Medicago truncatula: one gene and its partners. Each later gene encodes a partner of the first gene's protein in a complex. Links are inferred from orthologs where the notes say so. Each region holds a gene or a part of one and is shown in the gene's direction. Other genes may lie near its edges. The genes, in order: mediator of RNA polymerase II transcription subunit 14, mediator of RNA polymerase II transcription subunit 18, mediator of RNA polymerase II transcription subunit 17 and mediator of RNA polymerase II transcription subunit 19a.

What was found.
Region 2: mediator of RNA polymerase II transcription subunit 14 (region 1) and mediator of RNA polymerase II transcription subunit 18 share a complex: the UniProt entries of both Arabidopsis thaliana proteins name them as parts of the mediator complex. The link is inferred for Medicago truncatula from reciprocal best matches to the Arabidopsis thaliana genes SWP and AT2G22370.
Region 3: mediator of RNA polymerase II transcription subunit 14 (region 1) and mediator of RNA polymerase II transcription subunit 17 share a complex: the UniProt entries of both Arabidopsis thaliana proteins name them as parts of the mediator complex. The link is inferred for Medicago truncatula from reciprocal best matches to the Arabidopsis thaliana genes SWP and AT5G20170.
Region 4: mediator of RNA polymerase II transcription subunit 14 (region 1) and mediator of RNA polymerase II transcription subunit 19a share a complex: the UniProt entries of both Arabidopsis thaliana proteins name them as parts of the mediator complex. The link is inferred for Medicago truncatula from reciprocal best matches to the Arabidopsis thaliana genes SWP and MED19A.

Annotation. Positions count from the first base shown.
Region 1 is NC_053048.1:54,600,913-54,607,796, reverse strand, and holds the start of mediator of RNA polymerase II transcription subunit 14, read left to right. Parts: upstream 1-3,883; 5' UTR 3,884-4,121; coding exon 4,122-4,337; intron 4,338-4,650; coding exon 4,651-5,727; intron 5,728-6,241; coding exon 6,242-6,339; intron 6,340-6,430; coding exon 6,431-6,605; intron 6,606-6,739; coding exon 6,740-6,884. UniProt on the Arabidopsis thaliana protein: Component of the Mediator complex, a coactivator involved in the regulated transcription of nearly all RNA polymerase II-dependent genes.
Region 2 is NC_053043.1:15,752,733-15,760,732, reverse strand, and holds the start of mediator of RNA polymerase II transcription subunit 18, read left to right. Parts: upstream 1-4,996; 5' UTR 4,997-5,142; intron 5,143-6,855; 5' UTR 6,856-6,869; coding exon 6,870-6,905; intron 6,906-8,000. UniProt on the Arabidopsis thaliana protein: Component of the Mediator complex, a coactivator involved in the regulated transcription of nearly all RNA polymerase II-dependent genes.
Region 3 is NC_053045.1:55,066,173-55,073,728, forward strand, and holds the start of mediator of RNA polymerase II transcription subunit 17, read left to right. Parts: upstream 1-4,532; 5' UTR 4,533-4,742; intron 4,743-6,417; 5' UTR 6,418-6,518; coding exon 6,519-6,613; intron 6,614-6,773; coding exon 6,774-6,969; intron 6,970-7,507; coding exon 7,508-7,556. UniProt on the Arabidopsis thaliana protein: Component of the Mediator complex, a coactivator involved in the regulated transcription of nearly all RNA polymerase II-dependent genes.
Region 4 is NC_053049.1:10,410,917-10,418,427, reverse strand, and holds the start of mediator of RNA polymerase II transcription subunit 19a, read left to right. Parts: upstream 1-4,497; 5' UTR 4,498-4,657; exon of another isoform or gene 4,658-4,715; intron 4,716-4,862; 5' UTR 4,863-4,982; intron 4,983-6,289; 5' UTR 6,290-6,334; coding exon 6,335-6,365; intron 6,366-6,797; coding exon 6,798-7,087; intron 7,088-7,236; coding exon 7,237-7,461; intron 7,462-7,511. UniProt on the Arabidopsis thaliana protein: Component of the Mediator complex, a coactivator involved in the regulated transcription of nearly all RNA polymerase II-dependent genes.

The DNA of each region.
Region 1 (6,884 bases):
CATGGTCTGCTTTTTTTATGCACGAACATGCTTTGAGTTTTTTGATGCACAAGTTAAAAATATATATTGCATTATTCTTTATTTCATGTGCATAATTTGGATTAGGATACATACTTCATCACTATTTGGAAAACAACTAAATTCAATCCTAACCAGTTTGGATGGTATTATAAGAGTTGCACCAAATGTTCGAAGACATCAATGTCAAATGGTGCTAGCTATAGATGCACATGCGGGAGTGATGCTTAATTTCCATTTGTTTCAACAATGTTAATTGGTCAACGGGGTTCATATAATGCACATACATGTATTTATCTAGACTTTATAGGAAGATAATAGGAAGATAAATTAGAAGTCATGATACATTTTCTTTAGCTTAAATCAGTTAAGCTACCTTTATTTTATAAATTATATGTAACTATATTCGCATGCAGAGAAAGTATAAGTGTCGTCTCATTACCGCCGAAAGAGCAAGCTATGAAAAATACTTGGGTGGGCTATGGATCAATTTCTGCAGAGAACGTGTGATGATAGAAGGTGGTAAGCTCATATTTGGTCTCGAAAAGTCACCGAAGAACTTGCACGTTCGAGTTGTTCTAAAGTAGATATTTGCTGCTGAACTATTTGAACTTCTACTATTTTGACGTATCGCTTTGGACTGTAATCGTAAACTATTTTGACTTTGGGATGTCATTTGTTCTTTTCATTTTGTCTGATGTAAATATTGGCAAAAATCTCTTTTTAGTTAGTCTTTGACACTTGGAGTCTCTTTTATAAACCTAACTATTATGTAACGTTAATCTGCACATTATTGGTTCCTTCATTGGTTCAAATTAGTATCATGTTAATTATAATGTTGTTTTCCTAATCTTTTGAACAAAATAGAACATGCCCTTTTTCTACAGCAGATCTTTATAATGCTTTGGAACCAACCCATACATATTTTATGATGAATTATAATGTTCCGTCGTTTTAACATATCTTCTTTCGATTTTTTTTTTTTTTTTTATCAAAAACGTTATTGAACCCGTGCGAAGCACGGGTTTGTAACTAGTTTAATAAAAAAATTCTAATGGAATTAAAAAATTGGAAAAAAAATAAAAAAGCCAAGTCAACATGCCAAATATTCAATTTTATACAGTCAGCGTCCCATGTCAGCTTATGTGCACAGTCAGATTGGTTCAGGGGTGCAAACCAAAAAATCTTCATTTTACAAGGAAGAATCTCCAAGTTTTTTTTTATAGGGGAGTATACCAAAAGACCCCCATATAACAGGGGGGTAAAAGCCTATTAATCTTTTTATTTTTTTATTTTTATCAAAGCACAAAAGATCAATACACCGAGAGGGAGCTTGTACCCTTTATAAAACAAGATTACATAAATGTTTTTCTCGGGAAAGGCAAATGAATGCTATCTCTCCGGAGAAAAGCAGCAAGAAAAGGAGAATAATTACTCCAATATTGAGAAGAAAAAAACAAGGGCAAGCTTTGACCATTTTTGGTCAACGCATCCGCTGTCAAGTTTCTCTCCCTTGAATATGAGTACAAGATGAATTAATCATTCTAGTCATAACCATGCAATTACTCCAACGGATCCTCAAAGGCCAAAGTACAACAAAATTGGAGTTGAAAGCATTAACCAACATCAAATAGTCGGTGTTAATCCACATGTTTGCCAACTACAAAAACTCATTGATCGGTCATCTTGACACAATTATTGAGAAAACAAGTTATCACATAATCGAGATAGGTTCTAAATAAAGTTGAAAATCACAAATATGTTTAATTGAAACAAATAATGATGTCTGGATTACAAGATTATTGTTCAACAAGGAATAAACGTCATTTTGGGGATCATCCAAGTCAACAAATTTAAATGTATTGTTCAAGATGCCGATTCAAATATTCTCATCATCGAGAAGGAAACCATAAGATTTGAATTGACGAGTTTAACGACAATAAGGAAAGATTTGACATTGTTTAATAATTGTCTAGCACGCTTGGTGTTGACCTCAAATTTGTTGTGTAACAAGTAAAAAGTGGTGAATCTAATACATTGAAGAGGAGTAAACTCAAGGAAAAAGTTTCATAGTAATTTTAGAAAAATATATATAAAAAGAAGGTTTCCAAAATCGTAAAAGTAACCTTATTTAAGGAATGATATTAAAAAGGAATGTCTAAATTTGAAAATAAACATATAAATAAGAGGAGTTTGGATCCTATCTTATAAATGAAGATTGCAATTTGGTAAGAGATATAAACAAAACATAAATTGTAGGTTCTACCAACAAGTGGGTTCCATTATCATTAATTATTTACAAATTTTATTGTGTCTTTATATCTTCAAATGGAATAAATGGATGAGATCCAAAATAGAGAGATCTTAACTCAAACGAAAGGACAAAAAGACATAATCGAGCAATATATATATAACGCATTGTTGTCTTCTTTCAATCATACAAATGTCGCGTCAGTACCAATTTGTCCCCACTATATTGAACTATGAATCCCCCAAATGTTTTATTCCTCTCGACCAACCTTTGTAGTTTGATCTTTCTTTTCAAAAAATATTTTGAATAATCTAAGAAAATTAAAATATTGCTTTTAATAACTCATGAAAATCATTAATTTTTGACTATAACGGTCAAAATACATGCAAATGAAGACTTTCTTGCAAAATTAGATGACTTCTTGCAAAATTAGATGACTTCTTTCAATCATACAAATGTCGCGTTAGTACCAATTTGTCCCCACTATCTTGAACTATGAATCCCCCGAATGTTTTATTCCTCTTGATGTAGTTTGATTTTTCTTTTCAAAAAATATTTTGAATAGTCTAAAAAAATTATAATATTGCTTTTAATAATAACTCATGAAAATCATTAATTTTGATTATAATAGTCAAAATACTTGCAAAACTAGGTGACTTCTTCTTCTAGTTGGTTGTTTGCTTGATAATGTCATTAGAAAAACAAGTCAAAAAGTTGGATTTGGTTCTTAATAAAGACGAAGATCATAAGGAGTTAATATGTTGAATTGAAAGAAACAATATTACTTAGATTCCACGATTCACGTTTAGCATTGAAAAAACACTGACTCAGGTAATTAAATTCATTGTTCTGGATGCTAATTATCACATACTTACCATCGAAAAGGAAACCTTATTATCGAATCGATGAGTTGGACAACAACAATGTTTGACAAAGGCTGTCAAGGGTTTGATGACAACCTTAAAGCCAAACTTAACAAATTAAAAATGACAAATCTTAGAGAAACAAATATTATTAAACTCATATAGTAAAAATCTTCACCAATAAAAAAATAATACAAAAACTGCAATAAACTATAAAATTAACCTTATCTCTTCTAGTAATATCCCTCTAACACGTGATCACGTGGAAGCCACCGTTGTAATCAAAGAACTAAAAAGATAAGTAAACTCGTATAGAAAAATGAAATTAAAAACTTATAAAAACGTTAATATTTACCTTATTTATCTTACTTACAACATTTGTATAAAATGTGATCACCATATAACCAATAATTAATTATTCTTTAACGCCATTGCAAGGCCGAAATTGCAAGGCCGGACGTCATGACCCGGGTTCGAACCCGGGATCTCACAGTTGTGTGTGAGTTTATTTTCAGTGGATTACCACTTCATCTAAGACCAAAAAAAAAATAAAATTATTCTTTAACGCATTTTAAAAAAATAAAATAAAATTCTTTAACACATGTTCCATAAAAAAGTTGCACCAAATAACATTAGCTATCAACATCAAAATCTAAAATCTAAAACACATTGAGAAGAAAAAAAAAAAGGTGTAAGAAAATCCAAGTATTTGTTCAAATAAAGTAATATATAAAAGGAGAGAGAAACATGAGAGAGCACCGTGAGACACAAGCCCAGAGATAGAGTGAGAAAGCGAGAGAGAGAGAGAGAGAAGAGAGAGAGTGCGGAATCACGAAAGAGCGCGTTCTTCTTCTTCTTCTTCGTCTTTCCTTTGCTCCTAATTGACAACGGTTCAAAAATTAACCGTTGTCTTTTTGACCTAAAACCCTAATTTGATTTCGATGCATTAACAGATCAAGAAGAACCCTAGAATTGAACAATCGAAATCAATGGCTACGGCGGAGTTAGGGCAACAGACGGTGGAGTTATCCACCCTCGTTACTCGTGCCGCTCAAGATTCATACAATTCGCTTAAAGAGCTTGTTGATAAATGCAGGTCCACCGAATTATCCGATTCCGATAAGAAGATTAGCATGCTCAAATTTCTTACCAAGACTCAGCAACGTATGATCCGTCTCAATGTCCTCTCCAAATGGTGCCAACAGGTCAATTTTTTCATCTCATTTCTATTTTTAATCCCAATGTTATTGAATTTCATCTTTGTTATTGTTTATTGTGTTACTAATTGTTATGTAATGTGTGTGTGTTATGTTATGAATTTATGTATGATATGATGATTGTGTTGGTGGGCTCTTACGAGTCCTGATCTTCTTTTAATAATATTTGTTATTAAAAATTAAAAATAAAATTGTGTTGGTCATGTATGATATGATTATGATAATGATAACATTTAGTGTTAGAGTAAGAGAAAGAGAGTTTGTATATGCGATGATTTGCTAATAATTTGTGGCTTTTCAGGTTCCTTTGATACAGCACTGTCAGCAACTGTCTTCAACTGTTTCGAATCACGACATGTGTTTTACTCAGGCTGCGGATTCGTTGTTTTTCATGCACGAGGGGCTTCAGCAAGCTCGGGCTCCGGTTTATGATGTTCCATCCGCCATTGAAATTCTTCTCACGGGGAGTTACGAGCGTTTGCCAAAGTGTATTGAAGATGTTGGTTCTCAGTATGCTTTGACCGAAGATAAGCAAAAGCCTGCTTTGAAGAAGCTGGACATGCTTGTTCGGTCCAAATTGCTTGAAGTTTCTCTTCCCAAAGAAATTTCTGATATAAAAGTTTCCGATGGCACTGCAATGGTTAGGGTGAATGGAGAGTTTCAGGTTTTATTGACACTTGGGTACCGAGGACACATGTCCTTGTGGAGAATATTGCATTTGGAGCTGCTTGTCGGTGAAAAAAATAAAACTGTGAAACTGGAAGAACTACGGCGACATGTGCTTGGAGATGATCTAGAGAGACGAATGGCAGCGGCCGAAAACCCATTTTCAATATTGTACACAGTTCTTCACGAGCTGTGTGTTGCACTTGTCATGGACACAGTAATAAGGCAAGTGCAATTCCTTCGACAGGGAAGATGGAAAGATGCAATTCGGTTTGAGCTCATATCTGATGGTGGCTCTGGTCATGGGGCAAGTTCAAGTTCTGTGCAGAATCCTGACGGGGAATCTGATTCGTCTGGTCTACGAACTCCGGGGTTAAAAATTATTTACTGGTTAGATTTTGACAAAAATGCTGGTGTGTCTGATTCAGGTGCTTGTCCATTTATAAAAATTGAACCTGGACCAGACCTTCAGATAAAGTGCACCCACAGTATCTTTGTCATAGATCCGTTAGCTGGCAAGGAGGCAGAGTTTTTCTTAGACCAGAATTGTATTGATGTAGAGAGGCTGCTATTAAGAGCTATTTGTTGCAATAGATATACTCGGCTATTAGAAATTAAAACAGAACTGATAAAAAATGTTCAGGTCTTTAGAACAGCAGATGACGTTGTGCTCCAGTCTCATATGGGTGAACCTGATATTGAATATAAGCAGGTTAGATTTATTGAAGAAATTTTAAAGTGGTAATTTGCATTGGGCTTTCTGTTAAACGACTCTTTTGAGGGGTTTTTAATGTCCTTGTTTGTTGTCACAGTTTTAGAGGTTTTACTTCACATTCTTTTCGTTTCATAGAACTCTACTAGAGTTCTAATTCTGAAAGTTCTGATCATTGTTATTTTCTTTCTTGTTTAGCATTATAGCATACTAGCGTTGCAATTACTTTGCTTCATAATTGCTCATGCAGGAAATGTTTGTAGTTTTGTAAACTGTGAATCTGGTATCTTGTATCTGCATTACCAGCCAATGGTTTGGGGTTTACTTTGTTGATATGCACGTGTTTTTCAGTGCAATACTGTTAACCACTTGACCAATAATCTATGCCATGCTAACTGCTGTTGCAATTTTATGTTTTCATTTATGGCACCTTATGGATTTTCTGTGGGTAATCTTATGCATACCTTTATTTAATCTTGATGGGTTTTAAAATTAAGATATGTTCTGTCTGTAGAAGGATAATAAGAGATGCGATAAGGATTCTGAGGGGAACGAGGTACTGCACGTGCGTGCTTATGGCTCTTCTTTTTTTACTCTTGGAATTAGTATCAGGTACCTTATTTCACTCACTTGTTTTTTTTTCCCTAATCTCTTGCATTTTAATCTAGGCATTTTCAAACCAATTTCCCTGTTTTTTATTCAGGAATGGCCGATTCCTTCTTCAATCATCACAAAATATAGTTGTTTCTTCTGCCTTGTTAGAATGTGAAGAAGCTTTAAATCAGGGATCTATTACTGCAGCTGAAGTCTTCCTAAGCTTGAGAAGCAAAAGTATGTTGCACTTATTTGCATCTATTGGAAGGGTTTTGGGCCTTGAGGTACATTTTCTTGTTACTCTCTCCATTTGTGTTTCAAAGAAAAATCTCTAAATCAGTTTGGACTGTCTTTTAGCTTACTTTTATTCAGATCACCAGCTTCCCTAAGATTTATGGATTATGGGCCACCCTTGCAGGTTTATGAGCATGGATTGAACACAGTCAAAACACCCAAAACCTTGTCGAATGGTTCAACTGTGCTGATGATGGGATTTCCAGACTGTGGAAGCTCTTACTTCCTGCTTATGCAACTTGATAAAAATTTTAAACCCTTGTTTAAGT
Region 2 (8,000 bases), on another chromosome or scaffold:
TTACATGCTCTCTGCCTTAGCTCGCTATGGCGAGTAAGGTTGCTCGCGGTGGCGAGCTGCGTTGTGCAACTCGCGAGGCAAGGGAAAAGGGTTCGCGAGGCGAGCGATGAATGTTCATCACTCGCGAAGCGAGATTCATAGCTCACCGTGGCGAGCGATGAATGTCGCTACGGCCAGACTTCCTATTTTCACAAAAATTCAACGATTCACAAGGTTTTAAGCCTAATATTGATTCCAAAGTTCGTCCTAAACATTATCTAAGGTCTAGAAGCACTTTCCACATCAATTTAACCAATTCCTACCGTTTGATCATCAATTCTAGGGATTTGACCTAGTTTTCGTTTTCTCCAATTCAATCCTAAAACTTGCTAACTAATCATCAGAATTACAATCAATTAACATTACTGAGTTATTAGTCTCACCCTTACCTGGTTATGAAGAAATCGCAGCTCTCTCTTTGATCTTCTCCCTTCTAAGCTTTTTCTCCCTTTTCCAAAAGTTTTCACGTACAATAGTTTTTCTAACAATTAGGTCTTCCCCTATTTATATCTCTTCCTAATAACTTATTTTATTTCACTTTCTCCCCCAAAACTATCTAAAATATCAAAACAGCCCTCAACTAAATATTTTTATTTTCTTATCAAATCTTATTTTATTTAACAATAAAATTAGTCTCATAATCTTATCAAATCATCAAAACACGTCAAATCTTTCAAATCAACTTAACTCTTCTAAATTCAACAAAACTCACATATATATTATAAAAATATAATATAATGGCATAAACTCGATTAAATAATTAATTAAATGAAAGTGGGCGTTACACTCTCCGTTCCACTAAAATGATGAGTAACTTTACAAAAGAGATATCAAAAGGTTACAAGAATTAGTCTTCAAACCTAATTCTACCCAAAGTCCCAAATCTCTTCCTGTGACCAAGAGACTTTATCCTAATAGTGTTTCTCCACGGTGAATCAACGGTGATTTAATCCCAGCCCAAGTGTTTGTTGCCAAGACAAACTCTAGTTTTGTTGATCTAATATCTCTCTCTCTCTCTCTCTCTCATCTAATACAAGGTAGGTTTATATTTATAGAGAAATATAACTCATAAATTTAGAACGGATATCACGCTGAAGATACGTTTCTTTTTTTCTCCTTCAGCACAAAATATATTTGCATCAAATATCCCCTTTAAAAATATATTTGCATCAAATCTTCCTTCATACGGTACAAAAATATATTTATTGCCCATAAATATATTTTCAGCAACAAGTTTTTGGAAGCACAAAATATATTTGAAACAAATCTTTATATTTTTAGCAACAATATTATTCATCCATCAAATTTTAAGTCAATTTCAACATGTACTAAATCATGATCGATGGGATCTTTTGAGCCTAAACATCATCCATTGCCTGTTATTTTCTTTCTGGTGAAGTGTATTCATCCATGTGTTCATTTCTTGAGCTCGGCTTCATTCTCTACTAGCTTATTGGTTATACATACACATTGAGACAATTTTATTTGTACCTAGAGCCTTTTCAAGCCACCATGTATAATCTTAATTATTTTTTGATAAACCACCTTCTACATTCACATGTATCCTTTCTTTTTGTGACAAACTGCATTACAAGACGAATATACCTAATGCTTTTTATTATATTTACCTTTTATGGACTTATGTAGAAGCGTTAAATTACTTATCATGGTTGGTTTTAAGTTTGGGGTTGCTTCTCAAGATAGAAACATTCTAAGTTGGGGTGCGGTAACAAAAATCTAAGAGACGCTCATCTAAATAAGTCTCTTCAAAAACAAAAGTGATTGAAAAATGAAGGGAAATAGCCATTATCTCTAAAAAAAAAAAATGCTGTATTCATAAATTATTAAAAACTTATATTTGTACCAAATTTGAAAGGCATGCTTGCTTGGTTACTTTTAGTATTTTTGCATAGAAGGATAAGTAGTGGATATGTAACTCCAACTTTAACCTACTTTCCCAAATTGTCTTCAAGTTGTATATCCAAGTGGCATGTGAATGTTGACGGGGTGATTAACTTTTTTCAATGATTGAGTGGATCAGTGAGGTTTAGAAAAAACCTGTCTTAGGGTGATTTCTTTGGACCTACTAAATTGAATTATGGAGAACCGGATGGGTAAAGATTCAAGGAGATTTGTTATTTTATTGTAGATTTTTGATGCACGGGTATGTTACTTGAGGATAAGCAATACTTCTAGTGTGGGGTTGTGAAGCCAGACTCTCATACCATGCTCTTAGGGTCCTTTAGAAGTCATTTTACGGTCATTTGTAAGTTTGTTTTAGTACGATTAGCAAGAAGTAAATAAAGTAGCATTGTACTAAATATATGTAAAAAAGATCTTGAAATCTGCTCAAATTCACCCCAACCAGACAACTCCTCGGTCATGCTATGATTTTTACAAGAGCAATCAAGTTGTCTATTTGGAGTATAGCCATCACAGACGTTAAAATGAAGAGAAACGGGGAAAAGAGTAAAAGAATATGAGTAAGGCGTGCTAATCTCCACATGACCTCGGAGCGGTAGTTTAATCATATCTAGACTTGTAATTCTAAGAATGGAGCGATACCAATGGCATATAAAAGCTAACATTCATATCTACATCTTTCATGAAGTCGCCAAAGTTCAATTCAGCTTACAAATTGGTAAAAAAAATGCAATTTTCATATGGATAGGATCAGTATTGCAGGCCCAAAATGTGCAGATACTACCTCGTGCGTGATGCACAGAATGCAATATTGTGCGCATTTACATACATTTTTTTGAAAAAGTGGAATTTGCGAATTCTATGAAAGGGCCACGCCCGTAACAGAGCCAAAATCTCATTTTCTATGCGGGGGAGGTTATGGAAACAACTTGGAAACAAGATTTCATCAACCACTTCATCATCTATTGTAATTTCTTAATCTAGTTGTCATGTCTCTTTTAATTATGAGTAGCTAGAATTCTTTGATTTTGTCATATAGATGCACTTCTTCCTAGCTATATAAACCATGTAATCCAGTTTATCACTTTTTTATGCAATTGAATTCATAGTATTTTTCAGTTATTACTTATTCTTAATGCATGTGTTGGATGACTATTAATCCTAACTTTTGATACATGGTATAGGATAATTGTTCAATATGTAATATCATTAGATGTATTCTAGTATTGCATTTGTGATATTTGTTTTGACGTACAATCAAGCCTTTAATGATCACGAATTTGCCTAGGACATTATGGGGTTGTGATCATAGAAGAGGGTTATAAACGAAATTGGTCATAGCTATTTAGTTAAAACTTCGTAATATTAAAGAATCAATTGAGGTAATTTAGGCATGGTACCAAATACAAAAGACTGGAATAAAAAAACCTAAAAGAAGGTTTGACTTTTGACAATGGTGTCAAGATTTTTGAATTTTCTGTCTTTTATTTCTATTCTCTTATCAAAAAATGTATTTGATATTGCTTTTTGCATAGGCTTCTGGGCTCTTATTTGGGTTGTAAGCCCTTTTTATTCAATTTTCATTTTTAAATATTCAACTAAAAGATATAAAAAAAAAACAATTATTTTGTTTAGTCGTTGTGTTATAGTCCTTTAAATACCTCGAAAATTTTAAATACATCTACAAATATTTTGGTTGTTTGTAATTTTATGAACTAAATTATCAATAAAAATTGAGGATAAAAATGGCTAAATATAAACATAGATGATGATATGTTTGCAATTTCGATATATTAGGAGACTATGAAGCTTTAATAACTAGATCTCACACATTGAGATACCAAACATCCGTTTACCAACATATTTTTTTACTTAATGAATGATTATGTATGCTATAACTAGTCTGATTCACTGCGAGTTACAACTGTTCAATCATAGACTCAACCAAGTCGAACTGGATTTCACAGAGTTCCGTGCATATTCGATCATTTGAGCTAATCGACCCTCACACCTGATTCCAAGTTCAAGTTTTAAAACATTGGTTATAGAGATGACCCAAACGGTGATTTTTTTTTTTGTTAACTCAAAAAGGGACCTTGGTAATTCAAAGTTCCACCGAAGCATGTCCAATAATTGTTCCATCTAAAATCGAACTTAGGCATGTCCAATAATTGTTCCATCCATAAATTGAACTCAATAATTAATCAAATTCAGGTTTTCGTTTGTTGAACAATTCATCTTTGGTGGAGTTTTTTTTCTTTTTCTGACAAAAATCAAACGATATTCATTCATTTAAATTGATATGTTACATCATTCAACATCGCTAAAAACATAAATTGATAAATCTACCAACAAACTCACAACATTCAAATTAACAACATACAACACCAAAATATTTACAAATAATATGATAAGATTAAAGTGACTTAAATATTCATATCTCCACATCTGCAACACACGTCCAAATCATTAATTAAATATGTGATGTTTCAATAGGAATCAAATGAGTACGGCAACAAAATCAAAAATCAAACAACGCCACACAAAACGACGTTATTAACCATTTGAAAAAAAAAACTAAATTTAAATAAAAAATCCCTTATTTAGATTAAGAAAAAGATGAAGAAAATTTTATTAATCATTTCAAGTAAATGTAATATATATCCGAGTCTTGTTAACAAATCTCTCAAGACACTCTTTAAGGAACTCAAATTAAGAAAATATTTCTCAAAAAAATCAAATATTACAAATTTTAATGCATTGATTACACATATTTTTATAAAAACTTTTTTCTGAAAGAATATTTTTATAAAAACTTATTATTAAAGTTGCTTAAAGAAGTCCCGTGAGCATAGCTCAGTTGGTAGGACAATGCATTGTTATATGCAGGGGACGGGGGTTCGAACCTAGACACCCCCCACTTATTCACTTTATAAGGTAAATTCTAGCCACTACACTACCTAAAAAAAAAATTTGCTTAAAGAATGCAATGACACTCGGTAACCTTTCTTATATTTATCTTGTCAAAAAAAACATTTCTTATATTTATATTATTAAATAAGAAAATTCCCATGGTTGTATAGATTGTAAAAGAATTTCTTTTGACACCTCGCTCGCTATCCGCCGCACCCTCATCCTCTCCGGAACTTCTGTTCGTCTTTTGAGCTTGACTACATTCAGGTTCGTATTCCTTAAATTTGTTCATTGTTTCAAATTATTACCCCATTTTCGTATTTCAATGTTTTATTTCAGTCAAATTCATAGCTAGAATTCAAAACCGAATTTCCCTTTCTCTTTCTTAGTGGAATATTTTTTATGAATGAAGCTGTATTATTTTTGTGGGGTGTATCTTATATGGCTGAATTTGAATTAACACAGAGAATTAATTTGAACTTTTACACTGATTTTTTTCACGGTCTCTTTTAATCAATGTAATCTTTGTTTTATTAGTGACATTGATAATTTATTATTTTACAAGTGACAGATCCCGTAAACTCATTGTCTTAAGGTTTTGGGTAAAAATGTGGTGTCTCTATCACTAGTGTGGTCCTGCTACCCTCGTGACCTAACACAAAGTGACAACGAGACGGTGATTTGTGAATTAAACTCGACTTTGGAGGAACCCGTGATCCTATAGATATAGAAAAAAAAATGTTAAAATGAATAATTGCTTGTTTAATTATGTTATATTCATTTTAAGAGGATAACACACACGACTTAGCGTCTCAGCACAGAGTAGCGGTTGTTGAGGCTGCATTCATCATCTCTCGTTTGCGCCTTTTGCCGCGTGCAATCCACTTTTTACTACTAAAACCCTAAAATAGAGCTGCTATTAGCTTATATGGGCTTTTGCTCGAGACAATAAAAAACCTTACCTCCCTTTTTCACCGTCGTAGTCTGCTGGTCATCTTGCACCATATTTTTGCTCTTGTAAGATGATGTTTTTGAAGAAGAAGAATAAGAAGGGGAAAGATGGGACTGAAGAATTGAAGAAATAGACTCGTAGAAGAAGAAGAAACAGTGGCAGTGTGTCTTTTGAGTTGCTGCTGTTACATATAAATTTGAAGGTTACATAGCTGCAGTCATGAACCTCAACTAAAATGCTGACCTTTTGCTGTTTTTATCTTTGTTGAGAGTTGGATGACAATTGTACACTTAAATGCTGTCAAGTGCCCTTTTGTTCATTTACTTGATTTACGAATCATTCTGTTCAGTTATCTTTTTTAGACTCTAGTTCATCAAATAATTTACGCAGTCATGCTGTTGTAAACTAGTTCTGATTATTGAAAACAAAACAGCTTCCCAAGTTAGTTTTTACTGTAGCAGAACTAATTCTTAAGTTATTAAAGGCCATTTATTGCCTGGATCTGATAGTCGGTTAAACATTTTTTCAATTCTTTTTCAAAACAGTTCAATATCAGTCCAAGCAACTGCTTCAGGAATTGTCCGCAAGATAAGAACCATTTTTTCAGTTGATTTCAGTGTTATCAATTGCGGATTGCGAAAAATAGCAGTTTGTTCAGTTCCGCTAAGCTCCAGTGCAATAGACGCTATTTGATTACATTTTTTATTTAATAGTGTATTGTGGAACAACTGCAATTTGTCCAAATTCTGTTATGCTATAACACTAAACACTGCTATTTGTCAACACTGGTTGATGTCAGAAGCAACCAATTTGGTATGGCTGAACTGTATTTTCGGATCAGATCAAGAAAAAGGATTAATATTAATACTCGTGAAAATGTTATAATATTAGTGATGGTCTAAATTGGAGTAAGAATTAAGTAGCTTAATTTCTATTTCGGTTATATATATATTGGTTTGTTCTGTTGCAATTGCAAATTTTAAATTATACAATGTAATTAATTCCAAAATATCTATTGTCTAATGCAGTTGAAGAAGCAGATATGGAATGCGTGGTTCAGGGAATTATAGAGACACAGGTGAGTGAGTTTGTATCTTCATTGAAGTTTCAATTATTATTAATACTGTTATTTAAGAATAGAGGTTGTTATGGAAAATTTGATTTGGCTTGACCTTTATGTTTGCCTTCTGCTGTTAGAATTTTTGGATTCTGCTTGTGTTGGTTACACTGATCAGAAGATTCCGTAATTCTCTATCATATGCTAAGTTCAAAGATAGATTGTTTACTTCTAAATATCTTTTAATTATTGTACTATCTTACATCATGCTTCATATTACAGCTATAATATCTCAGTCTAGTCACTTTTTTTGCAATGCTGATAATGTTTATTTGAATTCTACCCATGAAATGTAGTTTTAAGGTTCTAGTAATTCAAATGCTTTCGGAACTATGGCCAAATATTGAGTGGCTACCTGACTAGTTTCTCATAATTTAAGTCACTTTTCTTTATGGTTTGTTATTTGTGTTCTCCCAACACTGGGGGTGTTGGTTGCTCTAATATTGAAATTCACTTCTGAAATAAAAAGCAGAACCGTTTTTCGAAATTTTCTTTTATAATTAATTATTTAAAGTGTCATACCAAAGGATCCTGTAAAATCATGTTGCTTGGCTGATGTCCCAACTTGTAATATGCATCTTCAAAGTTTGATTTTCTTTGCTTGCCTACGAAGTGGATTTTGTTTCTCATTTAAAAAAATGGGGTGTCACGATGAAACAGTAAAATATATGTTAAAAATCCCACAAACATTGTATTGACATTACATTATGTTATGAAACATGGAAGGCCAGTGTGTGGCCAAGTTTTGATTGATGGATGTATTCAGGAATGATGTGTGTATCTCTGCAAGTGATATCCTTGATCCTTGCAAAAGGTTAGTTGTAGCACTAACTCGCTTTCGGGTGTTTTAAAACATGAGGAAAATGGATAGAAGCAAACTTCTTTTATCCTTAACCTTACACTATGATTTCTATCAATAATTAAAGATTCATCACAAGTCTCACATTTTAAATACCTTGTGTCCATCAAAAAAATATTGCAGAGATAGAGAGATGTCAACTATATTATCCAAGTAGGGAGGACAAGATGCTGGTATGCTTTGGGGGTGATATGTGA
Region 3 (7,556 bases), on another chromosome or scaffold:
TGAAGAAATATTGTTTAGTTTTTGGTAAATTTTTCCTTAAATGATGTTTGTGTTGATAAAAGTAACAAGCACTTCCAATCCAAAGGTAATAAACTACACATATATACAACAGTGATAAGAGCGTATGTACAAGAAGCAAAATATTTCGCTGCACATATATTTTAAAGTGTTGACACCATTGTTGAAGTCTCAAATGATCTTTATATGCATGCTCAGTGATAGATTTTTGGCAAGTGTACCAAAAGTATCGAAGTAGTAAAAATATCGTTCCCACAAGGACTGATTTTAATCTCAATAATTCAATTACGTTGTAAATTAGGATGTATAAATGTTCTTTTAGTTTGCCACTAGGCAGTTGATTGGGTTGTTTGCATAAGTAATAACAGAAAATAAAGATTGGTTTTAAGAATAAAAGAGAGATGAGATTAGGTCTTTTGAATCATCGATGTTCCCCTAATTGGTATACTGCACCTATTTGTATTAATGATTCTCTAATTCAACGATAGTTAACAAAATAGCTCTAATCAATCCCTTGAGTTAGGACCCTCTTCTCAAACTACAGCCCCTAATTCCTTAGGTGGACTAATAATCTTTGAATGTTTTAAAAACGTTAACCTAATATCACTAACAAACGATTATCCATTCCTAGATTAACCATGTTTATTAGAACAATTCAATTAGGTCTAAATCGAAAGTTATGGTCAGTAGTCATTCGTTCTCACTAAATCATGTTTATATTTGATCATAATATAAAAAGCATTAAGAACAATTAAATTGAATAAAAACTAGATTGTCATTAATAATAAATAGAGTTTCACAGCAACATGGATCAATTAGGGTTACAAGGATTCATCTCAGACCTAATCTTTAAGAGATTTAGCTACTCATAATTGAGTTTACAAATAGCATAATCAATGGAAGAATTAAAACATACATAAACTGGATTAGAGATGATGAAATCGCCCCTTATGCAGTCTTCTGGGTGTTAAAATCGTACTTTAGCTCTCCAAAATCGTCACCCTTATGTTTGGAACTGACTTCAGCTTAAATAGGCAAATCTGGATGCGCGCAAAATCGCGTTACGGTTGGCAAAATCGCACCACGATTTCTTCAAAACCCTAAATTCCTTCCAGATCCTTCCTTAAAATCGTAGCGCGCTGCTCAAAATCGTACCACGATTTCAGCAGTTCGAAAACATGCCTCTCTGGTCAAAAATCGCATCACGGTAGTGAAAATCGTGACACGATTTGTTGCTTTCAGTTCTTCTAAAATCTTTGCTTTTAACACCCTTGAATACTCCATATTGCACAGAACTCTAACAAAATTGTCAAAATAAATCCTAAAAATTACGTAATGACAGCATGTCATCACTCAGTGTTGTCAATTGATGATGTTTAAGCCTGCAAGGGAGATTTTTATTTCCCTACGAGGTTCAGAGGAGAAAAGGTTGAATTGACTTAAGCATGCAGTTGATAACCCATTGCCATTCATGAATATGTAACTTGGAACCTGTGTGACTAGGAAGTAAGCTAGAAAGTACTATGAATTAAGAAGTAATCTAGGAAGTACTAGTAACTATGAAGCACTGTTATATTATTTAGTCTTTAATGTTGTAATGTTCCATTATCTTTAAATTAAGAAGTAATCTAGGAAGTACTAGTAACTATCAAGTACTGTTATGTTTTGCCTTTTAATTAGGAAGTAATCTAAGAAGTGCTAGTAACTATGAAGTACTATTATGAAGTACTAGTAACTTATGTAATGTTTCTATACCTTAATGAAGGCTTATGTTGTGTGATAATTATGCTTGTATTTTTTGTTCACTTATGTTGTTCACCCATCCTCCATAAGCTCTATTTCAGTTTTAACTGGTTATGTATAAGCTCTATTTTTTGGTTCAATTTTAACTGGTATTTTGGCTCTGATTTGCTGGTTTTCTTGTTCAGTTCTTACCACCCTTTTGGTTCAGTTTTACTGGTTTTTTCAAAGCAGTTTTTACCACCTCTTACTTAGGACTCATTGAATGCATTAGACTGAGTGTTTATGTTTCAAAGCATGTTTCTTATGACTGTAGATTGTGTGACATTCAAAGCATGTTTCTTGTGACAGTAGATTGTGTGACATTATGATTTCTTATTGTTCTAACATGTGGGTTGCACTTATTTACATTGCAAAGGGACCGCATGCATACCCCAAAAAAATATCACAACCACCCAAAGCAAACAAGCAAGCACCCAGGCTGAAAGCTGATGCATCAGCGCCCCAAACAGAAACAGAACCATAGCAAAAAATTATGCTGTCATCCCTCTGATACAACACCAAAAGCGCAGTTGCTACAGCAGCTCCAAACCCAGAAATCAAGGACACAATCACGACCGGATAGGTGGCCTACTAAGACACTCATTGTGTTTCTACACTTAAAAACAATATCTATTGAGATGCAATTCCATGATTTCTGATTGTCATACACAACTTTATTAGAAGGAATGCTGATATGGATGTTGATTTCAATCGATATGAGGATGAAGACATAACCCTTGATCACGATGATTATCGTAGATCAGTTAATTTGGATTTATCTCAAAATTTAAATATAGCTTCTTCATCTGAGATGAATCATGTTCGAGATCAAATTATAGAGTTCAGGAAAAATAATTAGTATTGTATTAATGTTTCAAACTTGTACCACACTTTATATTATATTTTCTATTTGTAATTTTAATTGAGTACTTCATGTTTAACGTATATTCCCTGCATGTATTTTTATTTGGATACTGTCTGATTAACAAGTTATGTTAATCTTTCCCTAAAAAAATAAATTTATGTTAAGCTTATAATTTTATTGTCAATTTAATAAAAAAAAAAATAGATGAAAAAACTAAACAAATGTCAAATTTTATAACTATATACACAGACACATGTTAAAGCCCATTTTGATCTTTTACACATCTAAAAGCAATTCTGACACAAAACATCCAAACAACATTTTTCATACAAAGCACTTCTGTTTTGAAGGTAACCAAACATAAATTACTTTACGTTCAACTCACTTTTAACCAAAATCAATTCTATCAAAATCAATTTTTTCCACCGCACAACCAAACACACGCTGAATGGAGTACGATCAAAGGGAAGAAAAAAATAATTTAATTTTACGCTACAATTCAAAAAAATTAATATTATGGTTTTTCTTAATATTATGGTTGTAGGATCCACTATCAACCTTTTGTGTGCATCTCTCTCCATTTGTTAAAATAAATGGAGAAGATCCTTCTCCCATTTGGCGAGCATTGTGGCATGAAATTGAGATAATTTGGGGTGATAGAGTCATAAACCTTGTGGTGTAGAGGGACTTTAAAGTTATAATTGACATAATTATACATTAGATTACGGATGATCACAAAGTCATAATTAATTGAATTACACATGAGATTACTATTACACATGAGATTACTGACGATCACACATTGCCAACCTTAGTCTTCGAGTGTTAGTGAAAATGGATTGACACGTCAAATTCAACCATATTTGCAAGAGAAAGTATTATGTACATCGTCGACCTGCAAACTTTGATCTCAATTTAAAGAATACTCCCTCCGTCCCATAATAACTAAGCCATTTGCATAAAAATATTGCCCCAAAAAAAATTGACCCATTTCACTTTTCGGTACAACAATAATTACTTTTTTCCAATTATAATTCAAATTAATACTACTTTAATCACTCTCAATTCAATATATTCTACTTTGCGTTTATGATAAGAAGGAATGCACCGATACTTAACAAGACACTCAAAACTATTTCTCTATCTTTCACTTATACACTTTTTCTTAATATGTGTGAAATGAACAAAATACTCAGTTAAAAGGGGACGGAGAGAGTATGAATTTACTCATCTTGAGATGAGTTGAAGTCTTGAAGATCTTCTTAGTTGGTGATACATTTTTACTAGGATTAACCATTAGGGCATCTTTGGCCTTCTTTTATATCAAAAAAATAAAATAAGGGTTAAATATGTTTTTTCAACTATAAATATATCAAATTTTCTTTTTGGCTCCTCTAAAAAATTTCTTCAACTTTTAGTACACCAAAAGTTTTTCATCACTAGTTCACCACTTTTAATCTCTCTTTTTAAGTTAACTCATATGTAGACTTCATATTTTTAATGAAATTTTACGTTACTGAAGTATAATATTATAATAATCTCTCCAAACTAAATAGATTTTTAATAAAACATGAATGAAATATAAATTTTAATATTTTGAACACTTAAAAATTCATATTTAATTAATATTTTATTAAAAAATTCTAATTTTTTTGAGGTGATTGTTATTATAATATTATAGTAGACATTTTTGCATAATTTCATTCAAAAATATAAAAACTACATATTAGTTGATTTAAAAGTATGGATCAAAACAAGTGATGAAAAATTTTCAAGGTGCTAAAAGTGAAAGGGAATTTTTAAATAAATTAAAACGAAAAACTAATATATTGATAGTTGAAAAAAAAAGAAACATATTTTACCTAAAAAAATAATAATTTGTCGTCTAAATTCTCAAGTTCTGGGTTTCTTCTTTCTTCCCTCGTTGCAATAGCGAAGACCCTGAAATTGAAAAGCAGCGGGTTTCAGTGACATGTTTGATTTCAATTATCTCGTTGCATACTAAACAATTACACTAAATCCTTAACTTCCATTGTTACGAAACGCACACATCTCGTCTCACTCACAGCTCTCCAAGGTATGTGTGCCTTTCTCTCTGCTTCGATTTCTTCTATGATTCCCACAGTTGATTCGTTTTCTTGTTCACCATTATGTGTGTTTTATTGGTTTTTGTTTTCTGGGTTTCTAGTTTGTTACCACAAATTCTTATCATTGCTCATCAATTCAAGTACTTTTATTCTTTATTTGTTTGCCCACCAAATGTTTGACACAAATACTCACACAACCTATAGTCTTCTGAAGTGCTTGAATTATCAGTTTGTGTTCATGATTCCATCACATTGCATCTAATTTATTCAACTAGAGTTATAATCTATGTTTACATGGCAAGATGATGGGCATTTATTGGATGACGGTGTAAACTATTTTACACAGTTGATGCACTTCCATTAAACTTGTCATTTTTTGCCCTTCTTGTTTGTTCTAATTTTTCACAAATTGACTTATTTGGGGGAGCCAAATCTGCTTTTATATTGCGGCGGGACATTTTGCAGTATTTTGCGGCACAGTCCATCGTTGTAACTTTGCGGTGGTTAAGTAAAACAGTCGTGTTAACCGCTGCAAACAATAAGCAGCGGCAGTTGTGCAAGAACCGCTGCAATCCTTTTGTTGTAATCAAACGATTTTATTATAGTAGTGTCAGTAAGCAACTGTGGAAAAACTACAATTTTAAAAGGGGGGGTAAAAGAAAAAATAGAACGTATTAGAACAAACAAATAATAAACCATCAATTTTGTCCCTGAACTATCACCTTATCTTCAAAGAGACACTACCCTCCACCCCTGTTTGGGGTAGGGATCGAAGTCTCGACCTCCTTTTCATTCCACTCCTTAACATACACACCCCTACCACCAAGTCAACCTTATAAACCCAACTTAATGATTCTTCACTGCTTAATTCCCCCACCTCAACCACCAAACCAACTTTATATCTTCCAATTTCACTCCTTTGTGATATTTTCCATTTGTATAAACTGCTTGAAATATGTGAATACTTATCTTATTCTAATTTTAGGAGTACCTGCTGTTTTGGTTACTCCTTAAGTATTTGACAAAAGTGCTGAATTTCATTTTGAATTGCTTAACCATTTTATTTGCACCCGAGGCTAATTTTTGTTAATGCTTGGTATGGAGACTGATCTATGTTTTGGAAATTTATAAATACTTTGATGTCAGTGGTACTTGGTGCTTGGTGTGGCAATCCTTTGTGGATGGTTGGACTGGTGTGTTTACTCTGATTCCAGTTTTCTGTGATGTGAAAATGCTGTTTGCGGAAACCATTGTCTTTCTTTGGATTTTATTTTAATCAATTGCTAGCGTTGTTCTCTTCTTGCATGACTGGTCGCCATTGTCAAGTGTTAATAGGCATTAAAAATTGATTCACTGGATTTAAACTTGTACGTGCATTTGCATGCTGATTGATTATAACATATTCACTGGTTAATTGCTAACAGGTTGTCAAATATTTTATTACCTGTAAGAAAATATTCAAATTATATATTCAACGGATAATTTGGTGGCTAATTTACCCTAAATTTTTATTTTATTTTAAATGCTTGTAAGTGTAATTATCTATTGATTGCATAAACATGTTAAAAAGTAAATAAAATTCTTGTTTTCAAACTCTGTAAAGATTTACTTTTCTAATTATTTCTATTGTTTGATTATAAGTTTTTGAACTATTTTATTATTCACTTAGGCTTGGACTTAAAGCTACTGTCTGGTCTCACCCACATTTTCTTGCGGGCACGGAAGGTTTTGTGGAATTTTTTCGGGCAAACAAACTTTTCCAAAAGATGGAAGAGGGCATGGAGTTGCAACTATCCCTTGACAAGCTGCCGATCAAGCGCTTGGATTCCATTGAAGAAAATGGAAATGAACGATTCCCTTTGTAAGCTTCTTCCTCTCCTCCTTTTTATTTCTCAACTAGTATTGAGAACCTGTGCAACGCTCGGGGAAAAATCCTAGAGTTATGCTATCTCTCATAAGAATGTTGAACCCTAATTTCTATTTGTGCTTGGCTTTTTGTAACTCCCTCCGTATTGTTGCAGAGATGTGGATTACGATGAAAAGCGAGTTTCTCTAATCAGGAGAATTGACTTCGCTTGGGCCATTGAGAAGGACGAGGAAAAGAAGAAGCAGAAGAAGAGCTCAAAGGAGACAACACCATGGCAATGGCAGGGCATGGTGGAGAATTTGCAGTTGGCTCATCAGGAGCTCTCTGTTATCATAGATTTCATCAACACTGTGAGTCGCACATGTTTCTTTCTACAATGAATCACCGCTTTTTATGATTTCATCTACATTCAGAAATCTTCATGTCAAGTTCAAATTTCTCTCTGCATATCTGTTTGCAACAATGAAGATAATTGCTTGAAGTTATTTGGTTTCTGAAAAAGGTCTGTAAAAAAGCTCCATTTTTATTTTATCTTTTATAAAAGCTCCATTTGGAACTTGCTCTAAAAGAAAAGAAACAGTGTGTGGCTTAAGAAAATTATGTTTGTGTCATTCATCCAGGGATGAAATTAAGTGTTGAGAAAATGTCTATGAATGTCAACTTACAATGCTTTGAGAAGTAGCAGTTCCGGGTTCATCAAGAAATGTATCACTTCATATAGTCTTGATGAATCTATTTGCAAATGACCAAGTTTTTGGCATTATGAGTAGAAACCATGCTTTAGATATTTTTCAAGATTTTTTTTCCTATGGCCCAGTTCATTATATTGCATGATATGTGCAGACCGACAATAAAGGTATGTTGTTTTGTTGAAATTATTCTGCTTAGGTGGAAACCAACGATGCAGTAACTGTGGCTAGCATGACAAGGCCAAAAT
Region 4 (7,511 bases), on another chromosome or scaffold:
CATAAGAGGTATTTCATTATCTCCGCCTTTACATATGTTCCCTTTTTAGAAGAAGAGTTCCTTCTATTACCGGATAAACCACGATTATCTTACTCTAACATTGCAATGTTTATTGTCAATCCCTCATATGCAAGTAATCCATGAAATTGTAACTCATGTCCTATGTATGTCCTTACACCACAAGCACCATCCCAATATTCTGCCCTTACACATGTCCATTCTTTAAAAGGAGAGTTCCCTTCATTTTTAGGAGAAATCATTTATACCTCATTATGTCTTGTATTATGTTATCCATTCATGTGATACACTTAAGTCATAAGTTTGTCTAACAAGTATATGATGATATTATTGGTATTAATGATTACATATCCTTAAAAGTTCATGAATTGACATAAATCAACATACTTTAAGTTAAAACATACTAATATAATCATATAACTAACAAGTACTGTTAGAAAAACCACTAAAAATGAGGTGAAAAAAATATGAAAAAGGTGTTCTAAGAAGCTTGGTGTCCATGTAAGTGTATGCTCTCAATTTTAAGGTGCCTATCTCCCACAATGCAACACCTAGCTCCCTCAATCAGACCTGCTAAAAACACGATTTTTCTGCATTACATTGAGTACTTTGGTCCTCTAGTAGGCCTATAACAATACTCAAACACTTAAAACCCTGATCTTAATATGAAAATACATTTAATCAAATTTAACATCTATATTTCTTATATAATACTCAATTGATTAACAAATATCAAGAATTCCATCTTTTTACAATACCTTTTTTTCCTTCATAAATTAGGTAAAAGGATTTTTTTTTTTATTAATAAAGTATCATTGATAGTCAATATACAACCATTTCTTAAGGAATTTAAACTCTACACGTTGAGATTACAAGCTAAAAGTCTAGGTTACCTACCCAAACCTTATATTAATACATCATCCATTATAAAACTCAACATGTAATTTTAATTAAAGGGAGTTTCATTTCTAGAACTCATCTACATATTTGAAGAGGGGATATATAAAGTACACATAACTTTTCCTAGATGCATACAAAATACACAAATGCCTAAGGTTGAGAAAACACCCAACCTAAAACACAAACTTTTAATGACATGTATAAATCAAAGATCCTAGATAATTCCTGATAGAGGTTTTGTGGGGAATTCCTATATTACATTTTATTCTTAGAAAAGGGATAAATATTTCTTATAAGTTATAACTTCATCTCCTTCTTCGAACTCCAACTTGATTTCACTTTCTTCTCTATCTTTATGAACCCATAACCATGATAAAAATAAGGGAAATGTTAACTTGTGCCCTCAAGGCACAAGTTAATGATTCAAATATATAAAAAAACATATTGGATTGTGTGTATTGCATTTAATATTTAACTTTTTAATCATTTAAATGCACAAAATCATAGAGAAAGTTTCTTCTTTTGGATTTCTTAACATGTGCCTTAAAGGCACAAGTTAACACTACCCTAAAAATAAATATTTTTAGTGCTCTTGAACCATGTTGTGGTGAGGAAATGATTTAGGTTTCATCTCTATCTTCCATTCTTCTCCTTTATTTCCTCTTAAATTTGCATGCACTACTTCCTACTCTCCTCCTCCATCTCATGGACTTCTTCTATGCATCCTTTTTCTCCTTATTTTCTTCTTTTAGTTCTTCTATTTTCTTTAAGGAGCTCAGCGAAAGACGGAATTAAAGAAATGTGTATGAGTGGTTCTGCTAAAAGGAAGGAAAGGGGGTTGACTTAGTCAACTAATAAGAAGTAAATCACATAGATCCAAGTTTGGGCTTAAGTTTTTAATAAAAATTTCTTTTTCCCATTTTACACATTTATTTTCTACCACCTCACAGTCCATAATTAATAGTAAATATTTATTTGCTATTCTAACATATGAATTTACAAAAGCACATTCAATCGTAGGAAAGCTTTAGCATAACTTAAGCGATGGATAGACTATTTATTTTTCATCACAATTTCAAATAATGTCAAATCAAATAATATATGAAATTTTAAACAATAGAATTTTCAATCACATGTGTATTTTGATGGGAAAATAAACTTGAAACCTTAACTAACTTTATTTATAATAACATTATATATATAATATATACATTAAAATTAAGATAAGATATACTATTTTTGAAATGAAATATAAGCAAAGTGATAAGATATACTTTTTTTATGTATCTTTTATCCCGGAGGAAGAATTGATTGTGGAGTACACAATACATATAATGAATTGGTTCATGTTTTGAATTTAAAGTGTGTATGATGCTAATATTGATATATCTCAAGACATATTAATAACCTTTAATTTAGCGCAACACATTTTTATATCTGTTTATCTAAAAAAAAAAAAACTTCACTCCTCTAATCATTGTTGATTGCAATGAAATTAGTTTGAGATTCAGTACACACTTAAATGAGCATTATTTCTTCTAACATACCAACAACACATCATCTAAAAAAGGCCCAAAAAGATATAGCATTGGCCCAATCCAATTTCATTTTAGATATACTAAAATGCGACTATTATATAGTTAATATAATATTCATATTTGTTTAGAACAAGTGTTTTGCCCAAATGACTATACAATGCGGATATGTCATGATGCAACTAGTAATCAAACACATTTTGACTTTCTTGCCCTAATTCGATCTAAGACACCAAAACCGAAGATTTCAATTCGGCGTTTTATTCTTCGTTTGCCTCACGGCGGCGAACACCAAAGAGACCATATCTTTGTTTTGAAGAAGTTTTCAATGAAAATGTACTCAAGAAAAAACATTTATCCATTGTACTGTCTGTCTTAACGACAAGCATTTTTAGGGTTTGAGATGAATAAATGCTAAATCAAATGTGATAGTCGTTACACACTGTGTTACCGCCTCATACGTCATCCACGCTATTGGTTTATCTCATAGTTCAATGGCAACAAGATTCTTGATGTTGATAGATATGAAGAAAACCAGAATAAAATCTCATCAACGTTGACAAATTATGGTGAGCTCCATTTCTCGAAAATCGACTCTTGATTTATGATAACAATAGGTGATGACCATGATATCTAGTTTCAAGGAATGTTGATTTTGTGAGCAAGATATGAAAAATAATGAATCTAATGATTAATATCAAAATTGATTCATTATTGATCATATTGATTTAATTTAGATTTGATTAGATGAATGCAAAATGGTATCAATTAATGTTGATTTAATTGTGCTACTCTCTTTAGTATTGCTTTGCGACTCTTGTATTTTTTCATCAATTTGATTTTGAACATAATCTTGTAGAAAAAAGTTTGTGAAAATTTAATACAAGATAAAAATTACATAACCTACCTTATTTTTTTATTTTGGATTACCAACGCTCCTTATTTAAGATATACAAATGTTAATAAGTTAGTAGTTATGTTAGTTTTTAAGATTTGAACCTTGGACATCATTCTTGTACTATTATATACGAGTTAACAATTTTTTTAACACCTTACTGTGTGCAAATGATCACGTTATAATATTTTATTATACTACGGATTTAAGTTATCCATAACATTTTTCTCAATGTGTTTTGAAGCTTGAATTAGTGACACAATTCTATCTTACTTGGTTATGTACCACTTCAACATGGTCACTGCTACTATTACTTTGATAATAGATTTGACTCCTCTAGTAGAATAAGTAGAGTACAATGTGATAAAATTAGGTGTTGTTATTTCAATAAATATGAGATGTGTATAATATCTACATTTGATTTAGTAATACATGTTAAATGTTAAATGAAGTTGCTCACTTTAGATGCTATTTTTTTTTCTACACTTTAGAGGAGTTAAAAAGACTGAACATGCTTGAATTAGTTTATTTGAGTTATGCACCGGTCTATACACTTGTGACGCTGTTTGTGAAAACTTATGAAAATAACTTATGACATGTTCATAAGTCGTTTTCGATTTATTTTCACAAGTTCTCCAAAATAGCTTGTAAGAATAACTTATAGCTTATACTAAACCAGTTTAATTTTATCTTCAAAAATAGAAATAAATTGTCCATAGCAATTTACACGATATATTTGAAGTATTTTACCTCATTCATAAACCACGGGCAATTGATATGACAAAAAATGGAGGCTAAACAACTTGTGCTTGAGACAAAAAGAAATTCTATTATGGTTTAGTGATGACAAAATTTTCGCTTGCCTACCAATTTGTCTAATCGCTAAAACAATCAAACGTAATACAACTGAAATTATTCTATCCCATTTTTTTACTATTTTTTAACCAATCAAATGCACCTTTATACTCCAATTTCCAATGTCTTTCTTTCTCTAGAAGTAAAAATCTTACATGAAAAAATAGTCCACCGTTACCCATTAGGGGTAAGTTGACACTTGATCCAATAGCATAGCAATATCAAAAGGGTAAAATTGAAAAATTGTAGAAAATGGAAGCTAAATATATATAAGAGGTGGCAACTAGGAACATAAAAGAATTTTGGGTTTTTGCTCTTTTTCATTCATAAGACTGAGAGAGAAAAAAAACAGAGAGAAAGAACACAACACAATCACGAGTACTACCGAAGGAACAAACACAAAGATTGTTCCAACACTGAAACCTCAACAAAGATCTTTCCTTTATTTGTTTTTGTGAGAACCCTTTAATCCCTTTCTTCTTCTTTCACTGTTTGGATCTGCAATTTTGCAGGTTTCATTCTTTTACACACTATCTCTTTCATGGGTCAATTACCGAATTTTCAATGAATACATAAAAAAGTTACTTTTTTATTGTTATTCTTGACTACCCTGTTGATGATTTTGGCTTATTTTGATGAAAGGTTTCAATTTTGTGCAGCTTTCGAAGAAATTTTTGTTGGGGTGGTTGAAGTTTTGCAATTGCTGGAGGTTTGTGTTTGTGCCAATTTGAAGAAGATTTGGTGGTTTTTGTGGGAATTGAGAATTATTCACTCTACAGGTGGGGTTTTCTTCACTGTTTTGATTGTTTTTGAAGTTGATTTTTTTTAGGGCGTAAGCATGTTTTGTTAATTGCGTTATTAATGTGATGAAGATTTTGTGGTTTTTTGTGGTCTATGTTTTGAGACTTAGATTTTTTTTGTTGAAAACCACTTTTTGAAAAGCTGTTAAATTTTTTTGAACGTTGGATTTGAATATTTAACAATCTTCAAAGGTGGAAATTGAAACAGGATGAGAAACAATTGATGGTTGAAACCATGAAAATTTCTGAAATAAGCACTTTATAACTATAACACATGATTGTGCTGTTTTTTCCCCCTTGGTTCCACCCCTTTTCTTTTCAAAACTGAACCAATCAAGTTCATGTCTTCCCTATTGACTATATGAAACTGAATGAAAAGTAATTACAATTTAGATCATCTAAAGGAGCCGTTGTATCCATGTGAAACTGAATGCTTCTCTTGATATAAATTGGTGCTGGTCATGTGTAGTTTGATGTTTTTAGTCTATCTATGCTTACACAAGCTGAACGTGTTTTTGTTATGCTAGTGTGTAGGCTTGTAACTGTATGAATTTAAGTTATCAACTGTATTATTTGGGTGATGATTCCATGTGCTATTTGGGATTGTCTAGAATTCTGAAGCACCAACACTTTTGATCAAAGGCGTGTCCGACATGGGACATGCAACACCGACACATGTGATTACATTCAATTAATTTAATTTTCAAATTATTACCGGTGCTGATGTGTCACTGTTGTGTCTGGTGTGCACGTTTGTTTCAGTGCTTCATTGGTCTAGAATGATTTTTATGGTCTATGGTTTTTTGGATATTTCAATTTCTTGAAATATGGAAAAAGAAAACGATGTGAATGAATTCTATGGTTCATTTTCTGTTTGCAGATTATTAGCTTTAGGCATGGATTAATATTTTCTGTTGGCCTTACTGGGAACACTTGTTTTTCCTAGTTGGTCTTAGATGGCGTTTTGCTTGAATGCTAGGGCTTCTTAAAATATTGATAGTCTCCTTCAAAGCTTTTAGCTGTACAACAATGGTTGCGGGTATAGAAATACTTTTTTCCAGTTAGTTTGTTTAAGTTTTGGGGTTTGTGGCACATGTTAAATGTCTTTTTGAAATGGCTTAGAAGCCTTCTTTACCGTAATTTAAGAGGGTAGCTTGAGAAAGAATGATTTATATAATTTTGTTGGTTTTCATGTGACAAATGATGATTTTTATATGGTATCATCTGTTTCATTATGTATTCCCTAATAATTTTGTAAACATTCTTTTCGTTCCAATAACCGACAGCTTTAATCAGGTTCTGTGGAAGATTGAACCATGAAAGATTGAATCATGGATCCTGAAGGAAAAAAGTTTGGAGGAGGTAAAAGTTTTTTATGATAGTGCTTTATGATAGTGCTTTATGTTGTATACCTAATTCTATAAAATCTTTATTTGATGTCTCTGTTTTGTATTATTGTATATACAAGTCCGGATTTCATATGTTTATGGCACTGACTGTGCTTGTTATCTAATTGACAATACTGGGTTAAATTTTTAATTATTTATTCGTGATTTTAGTTGTTTATTTGCCCTTTTGGCAGATTTGAAACTTTGTCAATTATCACCCGTTCATTTTTTGGGAATTGAATGGAAAACATTAAATTCTATTAGCATCTTTTGAAGATTTCCGTGCAATTATCCCTTTTTAAAGTTTTCTTGTGTATATTTTATATTTAGCTAATACTTACAGTAAGTCACTTACTCATCAAAGAAAAACTGTGTTTTTTGACATTCTGTGTTTTTGAATCCTCAGGACCGAGGGAGTTGACAGGTGCTGTGGATCTCATAAGTCATTTCAAATTAATACCGCACTATGAATTTTTCTGCAAGAGGCCGCTTCCTGTGTCAATCGCGGACACACACTACCTGCACAGTGTAGTAGGAGACACAGAAGTAAGAAAAGGAGATGGCATGCAATTGGATGAACTCATTCAGAATACATCTTTCTCAAGAGAGACAAGTGCTCGGATACAGCCTTTCGACTTGGATATACTCAAGGAGTCTTTCCAACTAAGGGAAACAGCTCCCATCGATTTGCCTGCTGTAAGAAATTTTTAGTGATTTTGATCATACTTAGTTTTTAATTCTTGCTGAAATCATTCAGCATGCTATCTTAGTTTTTGTTAACAAAGTTTGATGATGTGTTCTTTGTGGACTTGTATCTTGATTGTTCCTTGTATTTTCCCTAATAGGCGGAGAAAGGAATACCAACAATTGCAGGAAAATCAAAAAGTGAGAAAGACAAAGAGAAGAAGCATAAGAAGCACAAAGACAGGGATAAGGACAAGGACAGGGAGCATAAGAAGCACAAACATCGTCACAAGGACAGAAGCAAAGACAAAGACAAGGACAAAAAGAAAGACAAAAGCGGGCATCGTGATTCCAGTGCTGATCACTCAAAGAAACATCATGAAAAGGTTGAAGAAATTTAGTTCGCTGCATCTATATTCTTCAGATTAAGAGAAAA